3 linked regions of the Danio rerio genome follow. The protein of the gene in region 3 binds, or shares a complex with, the protein of the main gene of each other region. Links are inferred from orthologs where the notes say so. Each region holds a gene or a part of one and is shown on either strand. Other genes may lie near its edges. The genes, in order: rbm15, wtap and mettl3.

Region 1 (4,094 bases), on a different chromosome or scaffold from region 3:
CAACAGCTGCCCTTTACTCTAGTACCACTTCTGCTTTAGAGAGCATGCAATTAAGAGACATTAAGAGAAGCTTGCATTTAACAATACTTTAGTGTGTATTATGACTGTTAAGATGCTCCTCGCACAACGATCATGACCAGGAAGTCCTCTTCTGTTTTGGCAAGAGCTTTCGCAGAAGAATCTAAGAACTGCTGAGAGAAATCACATGGTGGAAATGCGTGCAGGACGCCAGTGTTGTCCTTATCTCTACTGCCGCCGACGGGCAAACTGATGACCCCGGCGGCCTGCTTTTGCTTCAGGTATGAAACCAGGTTGCGGAGAGGCCTCTGCGTGGATGCTGCTGGGTCTGATGATGAAGTCTCCTCAGAGCTGCCTGGAACTGCCAGTAGAACTGCGTAGCCTCCTGGGCCTGCCACTTTGATGCGCCGAGACACCTCGTCGATCTTGGGCTGGTCTAGACGAAGCCGTTGTGTGATGCGCAGCTGAGAGACTTTTCCACCCGTGCTGCCGTCGATGAGAAGGCTGGTGGCGACGCTCAGGTCCCCCTCCAGGAGGTGCATGCTGGCTGGGAAGTTACTGTTCTTGAGGAGCAGCATGCCATTCCAGGCCATGCTCAGCTTCCCCCCTGCGTCCTGTTTTGAAGCTTGGTTGCTTTTGGAGCTGCTTTCGGATCTGTCCCTCTTGGATGCACCTTTAGCTGAATCGCCCGCTTTGCGCTTTCGTTCTGCAGGGCTTGCGCCGATGCTGGACTCAGAGAGGTTGCTGTTGCTTTTGATGCGTTTCTCACCGGGAACTCGGTCCAGGCTGCTGCGGCTCTCTCGTGCTGGGGACACCCGGTCTGCTCTCGCTGGACGCTCAGAGTCACTGAAACGTCCGTCTCGGCTGCTGCCGCCTGGGCTGCCCTCAAGCGACGGGGGTCTGCGACGGCGGGCCGCCCACTCACTGCTGCTGTCAGGCGAACACTCCAGATGTCTGCCGTCCTCCATGAGCCGCCGTTTTCGTGCAGCTTCTCTGCCTGGCAGCTCTCGCTCCAGTGACCAGGCCTCTCGCCGTCGTTCACGCTCTAAGTGTTCAAGGGGCTCAAATGCAGGAGTTCGTACACGTTCACGAATAGTAGGTGCTGGCCACTCAGCCCCAGCATAGAGTTCTCTTTCTCTGAAGTGCAGTGGCGGAGGAGTCCGTTCTCTGACCCTGATGGCTTCAGGGGTGGCACGATGAACGAAAGACTCAGCCATGATTTCATAATGTTGCAGGGGGAGGGGCTGCAAGAACTGTTGTTGGTAGCGATGCTCTGTGTCAGCAAAGTCCACCCTCAGCCTCCTGTCAGGACCACCAAGAGGAAATCCACGCATGTGTGTGCAGGCTGCCTGAGCAGCGTCCAGGCTTTCATACTGAATATAAGCCCAGGTGTCCCCTTTTCTGTAGTCTATAGTCCTAATAGTTCCAAAGCGGTCAAATTCCCGGGCTAATGCAGTCAGAGGCACCCAAGGGCCAAGACCACCCACCCATAGTCTTGTGGTTGGGGTGGCTTTACCATATCCAATTTTTATGGGGTTTCGGCCCACAACTTTCCCAGACATGCTAATTTTAGCTCTGTGAGCCATGTCCAAATTCTCAAATTTAAGGAAGCCATAGGTGCTGCTCTGGCCACGAGTGGGTCTTTTAATGTCCACCTCAGTGATTGTCCCAAATCGTTCAAAAGCCCTCCTCAAATCGTTTTCAGTCACAGTAATATCCAAGTTACCCAAAAACAGTGTGCGGTTGGCTCTCTGGTCGTCCTCTGGAGAGATAAAGTCCTCCTCACGGAAAGGAGCGGCTCGCTCTGCTATGTATGCGGGCCGCGCCCTCGCTTCATAAAAGGCAAACTCTCTTTCTCTTTCCAGCTCTCTGGGCAGAGGCGGGGGTGGGGGAGGAGGAAGCCGACCCAGTGCTAACTGCTGTAACCGGTAGTCCCTGTAGCCCAGGCCGGTTGGAGAGAGCGGCCTCTGAGTATGCAAATGTCTATGGCCTGCAACAACAGAGAAATGATCCTCCTTCACCGGAGAGCGACTCCTCCGCCTGTTCAAGTAAACTGCCTCGATTTTTAAAGGACGGTCGTAGAGCACCAGCCGGCCTCGTGCGTGCTTTGCCGCCCTGGCATCATCCGGTCTCCTAAAGTTGACGAATGCGATTCTCTCGTCGTTCACTCGGCTGATTTTGACGCTCACGTCACCAAATTTTTTGAATTCATGAAAGAGGCCGTCCTCGATTTCCTCGTCACTCAGCTGCGAGCCAAGCTCGCTGATTTTTAAAGTTTTGTACTCACTTTCGTTTGTGGGAAGCGGTGCGCGCGCCTCCCCGCGCGAGTTGGTGCGCGCCGCCTCTAAGGACAGACTCGAGGCGTGATTTTTGCCGCTTGAGCTCGCAACAGGGCTCGTGTAACCGTGGTTATTACCAGTCCGACTGGATACATGTCCGTCAAATTCCCGTCCGTCTCTTTTATCTCCAAGCAGTCCCCGTCGTGCAGAGCCCCCGTCGCTTTTAGACGAACTATTGCCGTTGTTGCTTCCTCCGCCAGAATTCGAGATAACCCCCATTTTCTTACTGGTCGGATGGCTTCCTCCCCTGTCTCGTATATCATCCAAGGCCCTTGAACGTTTTTTCACCGGCGACCGCTCTTTACCTTTCATGTTAGATGTCCTCTGGCTTCACGCGCCTAACAAAACACTTTTTTAACTGTAATGCTACCGCAACGTCAACGAATTTGCACGATAAACTGAATAAATTGTTCAGTGTCCCTGCGGCAAAACAACCGCATACGCCATCTTGTCAAGACTAAAACATGACCCGCCCGTCGACTTTGATTGGTTTGAATCTCTGAGAAACGACAGCGCTATTGGCTGATCCGTCTGTCAATCTAAAGCACTAGTACAGCGCCCAGTCTCGCTGTACACCATTTTAGCTTCAAAAGCCAAATGTTTACTATAGCCACTTTATAAAACACAGAGGTGACATTCAACTAACCACACATATAGTCTTTGAGAACATGTACTGCCAATATTATATTTGCTTCTTAAACCATATTTATTAATCATCTCGATAAATCTACAAAGAGTGCTTTGTATAGGCTATTTTTAAAATTAAACGGTGTTTAACTTTAATAGATGCTAAGAGTCTGAGTTTCACCTACATGTTATTTCTTATAAATTTAAATGAACTGTGCAATCTTTATAAAACGTAAGTAATCCAAATAAAAAAAAACTAAAACATTCTCGTTGTTCACTTGATGTCCAACAGATGGTGGTGTTTGCCTTTCACAGAGGTGAACGGACGTGAAAAAACAGCCTTTTAACCATGTCGGTCAGCTATAGATGAGCATTTTCCATGGGTTTTAGCCATTGGTTTTAGCCTAATAACTGAAATAATTTCTTAACTAAAACAATGCAGATCTCTGATTATATGCCCATGTCTGTGAATTTTTTTTTATGTTAAATTGTAAAAAATAAATAAATAAATAAATAAATAAAAGTAATGTTATTGCCTTTAAATTAGTTAAAATTTATCTTAAAACAATTTAGTGTTTTACAATTTGCATGCTTTACTCATACCCTCAGGGACCATTATAGTTTTAACTTATACAATTATCAATTCAACCATCAAAATTAAAAAAAATTACCCCCAAATTATTATTTTTTTCAATGAAGAAAAATAGGAATATATTTATAGGACAATGCTTTGAACTTAATACAAAAACGTCCAAAACCTTAAATGAGTGATAATAAAACAAAATACAACTATTTTAAAAACTTTATCATGCACATAAACACATTCATCCAATGTTGATTCACCAGAAGACAAATTGAACAGCCAACGTGTCATTTATTTATTTTTTACAATGCACAAACTGCATTCAAAATCAAACACTTTCTTGAGTATTTGAGTAGGCTACATACTTTGAAAACACGCCCTACATAATGAACATAGTATTGTTTGAACAATCTAGAACTACAAGATTAGCCATGTTTTAGTGTCACGTGCCCTACATCTTCAGTTACGTCACTTCACTGGCATTCACAGATCCTCTCATGTTGCCTTATGGAATAGTCCCTTGGAAG
Region 2 (4,030 bases), on a different chromosome or scaffold from region 3:
TTTGGGTCTGCAAGGTAAGAGACCATTAGAATCTCAGCATTTCAAACTAAAAATTAAAAGTCAATGGAGTATGCAAGTACGTATATAAAAGGCTCATACATATTTTTGCTAATAAAATTCCATGATTTTTCTAAGACTTACAAGTAAATATTTATGGCCTAATGTTTCATGCATTATCTACATATATGAGGTAAAAGAAAAACAATGCAAGTTCAAATTTATTACAGCATATCATAAAATACGCAACAATCCATTTAGTTTCAATTTATATCTATGTAAATTTGATTTAGATAATGCTTACACCGCACTAATAATTTGAGAGTATATGATTGGCCAAGGAAGAAAAGTAAAAAACCTTTATTCAAGTATACAGATATCCAATTTCCATGACTTTTCCAAAACTTTGTGGCTTTTGTTTTTCCAAAACTTTAGCAGGCCTGGAAAACACCATGTCAAAATTCCATGACTTTTCTAGGTTTTCTATGATGGTATGAACCCTGTTTATATAAATAAAAAACTTCAGCTTTGAAACTAGTATACAGTTAAAGTTTTAATTTTTGAAACAACTGTTTAATACCAAGCTCATTGTCTAGTTAATGAGTAGCTTGTATAACTGAAGTGCTTTGATGTCCCAATATTAAACAATCACCGCAATGAAAACTAGTCTAGTTGAAACTCCAAACCCTATTCGTAATGTCATTTGTACCTGCTACAAATAAAGTTTGTGCCTGAATGTGAAAGTTGCAGTAAAAGGTGGAACACTGTAGACATGCACAAGCCTGCATCCGCCACCACTTGCATTTGTTTTGCTTTATGCCAGCATGTTGAAATGTTGGAAAATTTATGCTCATATCCGCTTCAGTACAGCATGATAAATTACAGCTAGAATTTGCATGGCCGACATTTGAAAACACATTTGACTAGATCATAGCAGCTATTACATTTGCAATGTTTTTTGATGTCTCACAGATCATTAGAAAAAGAAATGCATCTGCTATATGTAAACAAAAAGAAATCATCATGGTGGGGACCCATGAGCAGAAGCAGCATCTCAAATCACATGCACTCTTCTTGAGTGGATACTCATTTTGAATAACTTACTATTTGCACCTACTTATAGTAGGGAAGTGTGCAACTTAGGCAGCACCTACAAAACTCAGACACTCAGTACTACTCAAACAAACTGACATATTTCCAAGAATAGACTTGATCATAAAGCAGAAGTAAACAGATGTAGTAGTGATTAAGAAAAAAAAGAAAAAAAAACTTACTGTACACTCTTGCATTTCCTGCTCTTTTGTAGCAAGCCTCATCACCAGAATGTTCTCTCTGCGTGCAGATTCCTGCTGTTGCTGCTTCAACTTCTCCTCAGACTCTTTCAGGCCTGTCACGTCATTGGCTGCAGACATTTCAACATGAAACAAATGCATTAGTTACCAACAATTCATTTTATGCAATAACATTACTTTAACACAAAGACTGAACACTCTGTGCTTGAGTAAAGCACTCAAGACTATGAATTATTCAGAACATTTAAGATGTGCATACTTACAGTTTAAATCAGCATATTTCGCCTCAAGCATCTGGACGTAAGTTTCATGCTGTTTCCACCTACACCCGGAAAGAAAACATACCAGCATTACAATCAAGAATCTTTCAACTTGCATACTTTGTTTTTGCGGGAGAGAGAATGGTTACATACCTGGTACAGAGCTCCTCTCGAGTCAGCGTCTTCATGTCAGATTCACTAAGGCGAACCTGCAAGTACATAAAAAGAAAATAAAGACTCATAAAGAGACCTTGTTCAGGAGAAAGAATCATATAATCAGATTAGACTGGGACAAAGAGCTCACCTTCTTCGGGAGAGGTTCTTCATTGGTCATTCTGATCTCTGCAAGACAGAAGCATACAAACCAAACACTTAGTAAGTTCAAATAAATCAATGAATCAAACCTACACACGCAATTTCAAGCAACAATATGCAGAAAAGATTTAGAGACAGTTGCATGGATTTCACACGCCTACACGTGTGCTATAACGAATATAGGCCACCAGGCGAGGGAGAGGTTGTTGTTTCTCAATTACAACAGATATTGTGGAGGAATTTGCTTAGTTAAGGCCAATTATTCACTTTCTGATAATTAAATGCAGCAAACATGTGGAAACAAACTAAACTGCGAAAATGTGAAAAAATATCACTTAACATTTTGACCTAACCTTAACTTACTGCTAAAACGTTATATGCATCTTGAATTGCACATTTAACGTATTATAATCGAAAAATGCAAACTGTAGCCCTTAAATATTATTTCATATAGCCAAACAAGAAGGTTAGTTTCGTAATTCAGGCGAATTGAGTTCGTCAATTAACGATTTGACTTGGTAAACGCTCTGCGCCGCAAACAACCGCGCGCCATTCTCATAGTCTCAGGAACGGTGCTCGTTACTCCCGGGGAAGACATGAAGAACTTACGTAGCCGATAATGCAGATTCGTCTTAAAACATAGACAATAAATGACTGCAGACGCACAGGAATAAAAATGTACCGGCGCCTTCTTGGAGCATTTTCGCTGTCACAAAATGGCGGAGAAGGAAGAGACTCTCCCTCTCCGAGAAGCAGCACTTTATCTGAAATAGCCGTATTAAATCCCTACCACTTACCAGAGCCGGTTCGCCTCGACCAGAATGACACGTATGTCTTCCAATGTGAGATACGAAAGAGTTATTTTTATTAATATAGTTCTCGGGATAGGGAAAATGTTGCGTTTTTTATTTAGACGAAAGGTAGCCCGTCCGCCATGACCAGCGTGTGCGCGATGTTCAGCCGCACAGCATCAGTGTGTTCGTTCGCGCGAGCGCTGAGGAGGAGGAGCACGTTCCTGTCACTGTGTTGCCAGGTTGATATTGAACAACAGTGCATCTTTTACAGTACAACAAACAACCTATTACAATTATGATAACATAGCTTATTTATAACTTACATGCATACATTCAAACGTTAATGTATATAATCATTCATTTATTAATTGACTTCATTTTTGCTTTGTTAGTTAGTTAGGTGTAGGTAGCTAGTTGTAAAAGACAAATTACCACACAAAACATACCGACCACCACGACATCAATAATAAAGGCACAAGAAAAGAAGGACTAAAATATATATTTTGTGTGTCCTGTTTAGTGTTTTCCAAAAGTCCTTTCTCATATCCGGTTTGTTTTCTGACACGTTTCTTTTGATTGATCTGGCAACCCTGGTATGTAAGCTTTAATGCTAACTAAACGATAACACGTTTTACTCTCTCTATATACATACATGATCAAGTTAATTACATTAGATATTCGCCATAGGAATTACGATCTGTGTAATTCTTAACCCATTGCTTGTAATCTCTTTGCAAAATTACTAAGTGGAAAGAAATTGAGCTATTCATTTTGCTTTAATGTGAAGCAAAACAAAATGTACAATCCTAATAAATCAGGCAACAAAAGTTCTAAAACGAAACCATTTATTTACTGTCTCACTCTGGACCTAGGCCTAGAATGACTGACTGAATTACACCAACTGGGACAGGGGGCATGGTTTTTGCACCCTCTTTACATTGTAGTACTATCGATCCCTTGAGATATATATAATATATACTATGCTCTCAAATATTCATAATTTATTTTTACACGGAAATATTCTTTATAGTTTAGTCTGCAATCAATAAAAATACAAAAAAAATTTTCTCAGACCCCTATTTTGACAAAATGGTATGGTCTAGTCCAAGTTGAAGTTGAAATTTCAAGGGCAGGTTGTAATGTGGCGAATTTAGGTCTGTTGGTTGGTCGCTTGTATCACTGTGTGACGGACTAGAGCATGCTGTGCAGAGTCGGATATGTTCGGAGGTAATGATAAAGCCTGAATCGGTTCTAATACTATATGCCGCTGTCTGAATATCAAATGTTGTTTATATAATCAATGGCGGTATTAATAACCTGCGCACATTTACCTGTTTGGTTGAGCGTTTAAGCGGACAGCAATAGTTTACGT
Region 3 (4,104 bases):
ATGGACGCAGCAGGCGCAATGACATTACACAGCACTATTGATAAAAGTAACAGTAAAGTTTGTTAATTGTTATGCCAGAATGCTATTTATTAGACTAATAAGCCTAAAAAATAGCAACTTTTCATTTTCTGTCAGTCTTGTTACACAATGTAACTACAGAAGAGTCAAGCTTTAAATAGGAAAATAATCAAAATACTTTTTTTGAGCAAGATGCTAATAGTCTAATCTGATTCAATTATCTATGCTAAGCTAAGCTAAGCTAAAAGTGCTCCACATAGATATCTATGATTAAAATCGTAACAGTTTAACTCTTGGGGTCTTGTTAAATGAGTCTATTAAAAAAAAAAAAAAAAGAGTAGTATTCCTTTAACACTTTTTGACAATCTAACAGTTATTCTAAAAAAGGGTGGAATAATATTATTAATAATAATAATAATAATAATAATAATAATAATAAAAAGATATGGGTTCAGATTCATAGCTGTTAGTGCACACAGCTCTTACTGTATTTAGCTGGTTGGTGATCGTTAGGGAATCAGTTGGCAGGGAAAGGCTCAGTTCAGAGAGGTATCCCAGCAGCCTCTTCTCTAGCTCTGGGTCTGGAGGATGCTCAACTTCTACTTGTGGAGGACTCTGAATTGCTGGTCCCGGGCTGTCACTTCTTGCAGATCCACTCTCAACACTTCCAACCTCTGTTAAAATAAGAACTGTTAGGAAATTCTCATACAGCAGGTGGCATCATAGACTCACTATTTCGACACCGCTGAACTTTCTTTTAGCATACATTCAAATGTTTTTACCATTTTGATAGTACACTTCTGATAGTATTAGATATTTCCACGTTTAGCATTTGAATTCAAGTAAATAAATCTGATTATATCAGAAACGTGGTTTACAAAGGTAGTTTAATGTTTAGCAAATAAAACAAGAAAAGAAAGAAAACACACAATAACATGCAAAACAGTAAATTATTCATTCATTCATTTTCTTTTCGGATTAGTCCCTTTATTAATTTGGGGTCGCCACAGCGGAATGAAGCGGGATGTCCTTCTAGCTGCAACACAACACTGGGAAAATAGTAAGTTATATAATTTTACATTGAAAATGATACATTAATTATACATTATACATTAAAAATAACAGTTACGCTAATATTTCTCACAGAGGACTGATATCGAACATCTTTAGGTCTAGGATTTGTCAACAACATATTGTTATGTATGTTCTCCAGCTGACAAATAAATTCATACATCACATTTGTCATTAAAGCAGGGAATGGTTGTACTCTTGCCTAACAGAATAATAAAAAAATGAAGCACAATCCTCATAGTCATTTTACACAACCTGCAGCTTAAGGAGACTCTTTCAGCTAAACGTAAAACCACAAAAGAGCTGTATAAAAACAATTACAATTTGCTCTAAAGGGACTTATCTTAACCTGTTATTAATACATAACGTTCTCTCACCTACATATTTGCTTGAGCATACAACTCACGACGTTGCCTGTACATATCATCATTATCTCTTATTTTATTGTTAACGATAAAGATATGCCCTGGATGTTTTACAATTTTTAATACATTTAAAAAGTGATATGATAATAAAAATCATAAAACTGTCTTCTTTGTTTTTACATATCACACAAACAGTTAAAAATACACATTTTATTTTTCAGATATCAGATAATGTAAAATTACTCAACACACCAGTGCCCAGTTGAGTTGGGTCTTTTCTTCTCCTCTGCAGCCTCTCTCGTAGTGAATCCAGCTGCTTTTTGTGCGCCTGGATGTGACTCCATGTGTCCGACATGGCTTAAATTAAACGAGCTAAACAGCAAATAAACAAACAGTACTGATTAAACAGGGGTTTTATGAAGTTTAGATTACATCTAGCAAACTAACGCTGAGTGACTGTACCACCATACACACCGTGCCGCTAAACTGTTTCTATTTTCAAAATAAGAGACACTAACTATATTTACTGATTAGCAACGATCTCGTTCATACAGGTACTTTTATATTTTTACGTATTTTAACTCATATATATTTTTAATTAGGATTCAATTATAACTATTTGATATACGAAATAAAAATAGATATTTCCCCACCAAGAAAAGAACAGTATGTATTTTGTAATCACATAGTGTATTACTTCCAGTGTACGCAAGACGTCTTCCGGAATGAGAGATAAGACAGATCTGTAAATAAGCAGATTCTTTATCTACCAGGAATTAAGCGCGGATCTGAAACAAGCTCTTCTAATTCAAGGTACTACTCTTACTCAAAATCCCAAATTATACATCAAACATTATATATTAAAATCTATATCCACTAACTTAAGTGGCAATGAATTGGAAATGTTTGTGTAAATGAGAACCTGCTTCGTAAACAAAATGTTTCTCGAATGTGATGTGGATGTAATATCTTATTTAATATACAGCGTTATACCCTGAAATATAATGCACGCCCAGTGTATATAGCCATTCACGAATGGATGATTCATATGAGTCGGTTCATTGTGGGGAATCGTTTAAATACATGTCGTTAAAATATAATTCACACATCATTTATATGTAAAATTGTTACGAGTCTTATCTTTAAAACGCGAATTAATGTTCTGTTTGTGCAGCACCTTTCAGGTGATTCGACATGGCTGAGCCACGAAGCCCGGTGTCCGCTTCTGTGCCCCACAATCCAATAGTCCTGGCTGCCCCCGAGGGCTCGACCCTTGAGATGGACCCAATAGAGTTCACCCTCCGCAAGCGACTGCCTCGCAAACTGCCCAAACGGAGGAACGACGTCTATGTCAACATGAAGACTGACTTCAAGGCTCAGCTAGCGAGGTGTCAGAAACTTCTGGACGCTCACAGGGAAATCTGCATCCACGGCCTGGGACTGGCCATCAACCGGGCTATAAACATCGCTCTGCAGCTCCAGACGTCCAGCCAGGGCGCCCTGCAACTCGCCGCAAACACCTCCACGGTGGAGCTCATCGACGACCTGGAGCCTGAAGATCCGGACGAGGCCGGAGAGCATCTGACCCGTACCCGGAATAACTCGGCCATCCATATCAAGGTGTTTTACCCCAATCCGTAGTTTCAGCTTCAGTGTCAATATAATGAATGAGGGCTTCATGAACAATTGTATGACGTTAGTGGCATGTAGAAGTTTTTTAAAGTGATGCATTATTTATGATTTTTTTCTGCTTCAAGACTTTTTTTTTAATTAATTGCTGTGTTATTGAATGTTTTATTTGAAAAACAAGAAAGAAATGTGCCATATGTATTTTTTTCTACTATGTATTTGTGTTCTTGTGTATAGTAAACTTAAATGGAAAGTAAACAGCTTAAATGCAAAGTAAACAGCCCCACCAACACTTTGTTGATTGTATCTTCCTGCATGTGTATGCATATTAAGACAACAATATATTTTAGATATTATTATTATTAATTTTATAAAAGGGATAGTTCACCCAAAACTGAAAATTCTCTCATAATTTTCTTCATCCCTTTACCTGTCAGAAACTTGTTTGAGTTTTTGTTTCTGTTGAACAAGAAATAAGAAGAAAATTTACAAAACTGTGACCATTGACTTCCATAGTGTTTGATTTCTACTTTGGAAGTCGATAGTTACAACATTATAACATTTTTCAAAATATCTTCTTTAATGTTCAACAGAAAGAGGAATCTCATAAAGGTATGAAACCAAGTGATTGTGAGTAAATTTTCACTTTTGGGTGAACTGTCCTATTAATAAGAATATAATGATGGCAAACCAGTATATAATAAAGGTAAAAAAAAAAAATAAATAAAAATAAAAATAAATAAATAAATATATATATATATATATATATATATATATATATATATATATATATATATATATATATACATACATACATACACACACACACACACACATTTAAACATTTTCATCAAATCTATCTTAGTTTTAATAGGAAAAATAAATGCATTTTAATAATTAATTAATAGCCTTGCCAGTACCATGTTAGGCTCCCTTTTGGCTTAAAAAAGGCATCGATTTCTCTTTGACCACATTGCATTTCTGTTTATGATGGATGCATTTAGCATATTACCAGGTATTA

The links.
Region 1: mettl3 (region 3) and rbm15 share a complex: the UniProt entries of both Homo sapiens proteins name them as parts of the WMM complex. The link is inferred for Danio rerio from reciprocal best matches to the Homo sapiens genes METTL3 and RBM15.
Region 2: mettl3 (region 3) and wtap share a complex: the UniProt entries of both Homo sapiens proteins name them as parts of the WMM complex. The link is inferred for Danio rerio from reciprocal best matches to the Homo sapiens genes METTL3 and WTAP.

Annotation. Positions count from the first base shown.
Region 1 is NC_133183.1:26,684,712-26,688,805, forward strand, and holds the start of rbm15 (RNA-binding protein 15), read right to left. Parts: upstream 2,817-4,094; 5' UTR 2,670-2,816; coding exon 108-2,669; 3' UTR 1-107. UniProt on the Homo sapiens protein: RNA-binding protein that acts as a key regulator of N6-methyladenosine (m6A) methylation of RNAs, thereby regulating different processes, such as hematopoietic cell homeostasis, alternative splicing of mRNAs and X chromosome inactivation mediated by Xist RNA.
Region 2 is NC_133195.1:33,721,974-33,726,003, forward strand, and holds the start of wtap (pre-mRNA-splicing regulator WTAP), read right to left. Parts: upstream 2,819-4,030; 5' UTR 2,662-2,818; exon of another isoform or gene 2,474-2,661; intron 1,892-2,473; 5' UTR 1,884-1,891; coding exon 1,854-1,883; intron 1,759-1,853; coding exon 1,703-1,758; intron 1,612-1,702; coding exon 1,553-1,611; intron 1,400-1,552; coding exon 1,272-1,399; intron 8-1,271; coding exon 1-7. Other genes in the region: sod2 (superoxide dismutase [Mn], mitochondrial), read left to right, coding at 3,857-3,885. UniProt on the Homo sapiens protein: Associated component of the WMM complex, a complex that mediates N6-methyladenosine (m6A) methylation of RNAs, a modification that plays a role in the efficiency of mRNA splicing and RNA processing.
Region 3 is NC_133182.1:21,870,008-21,874,111, forward strand, and holds the start of mettl3 (N(6)-adenosine-methyltransferase subunit METTL3), read right to left. Parts: upstream 2,649-4,104; 5' UTR 2,632-2,648; exon of another isoform or gene 2,629-2,631; intron 2,268-2,628; exon of another isoform or gene 1,929-2,267; intron 1,912-1,928; exon of another isoform or gene 1,827-1,911; 5' UTR 1,810-1,826; coding exon 1,707-1,809; intron 693-1,706; coding exon 505-692; intron 1-504. Other genes in the region: pop7 (ribonuclease P protein subunit p20), read left to right, coding at 2,649-3,095. UniProt on the Homo sapiens protein: The METTL3-METTL14 heterodimer forms a N6-methyltransferase complex that methylates adenosine residues at the N(6) position of some RNAs and regulates various processes such as the circadian clock, differentiation of embryonic and hematopoietic stem cells, cortical neurogenesis, response to DNA damage, differentiation of T-cells and primary miRNA processing.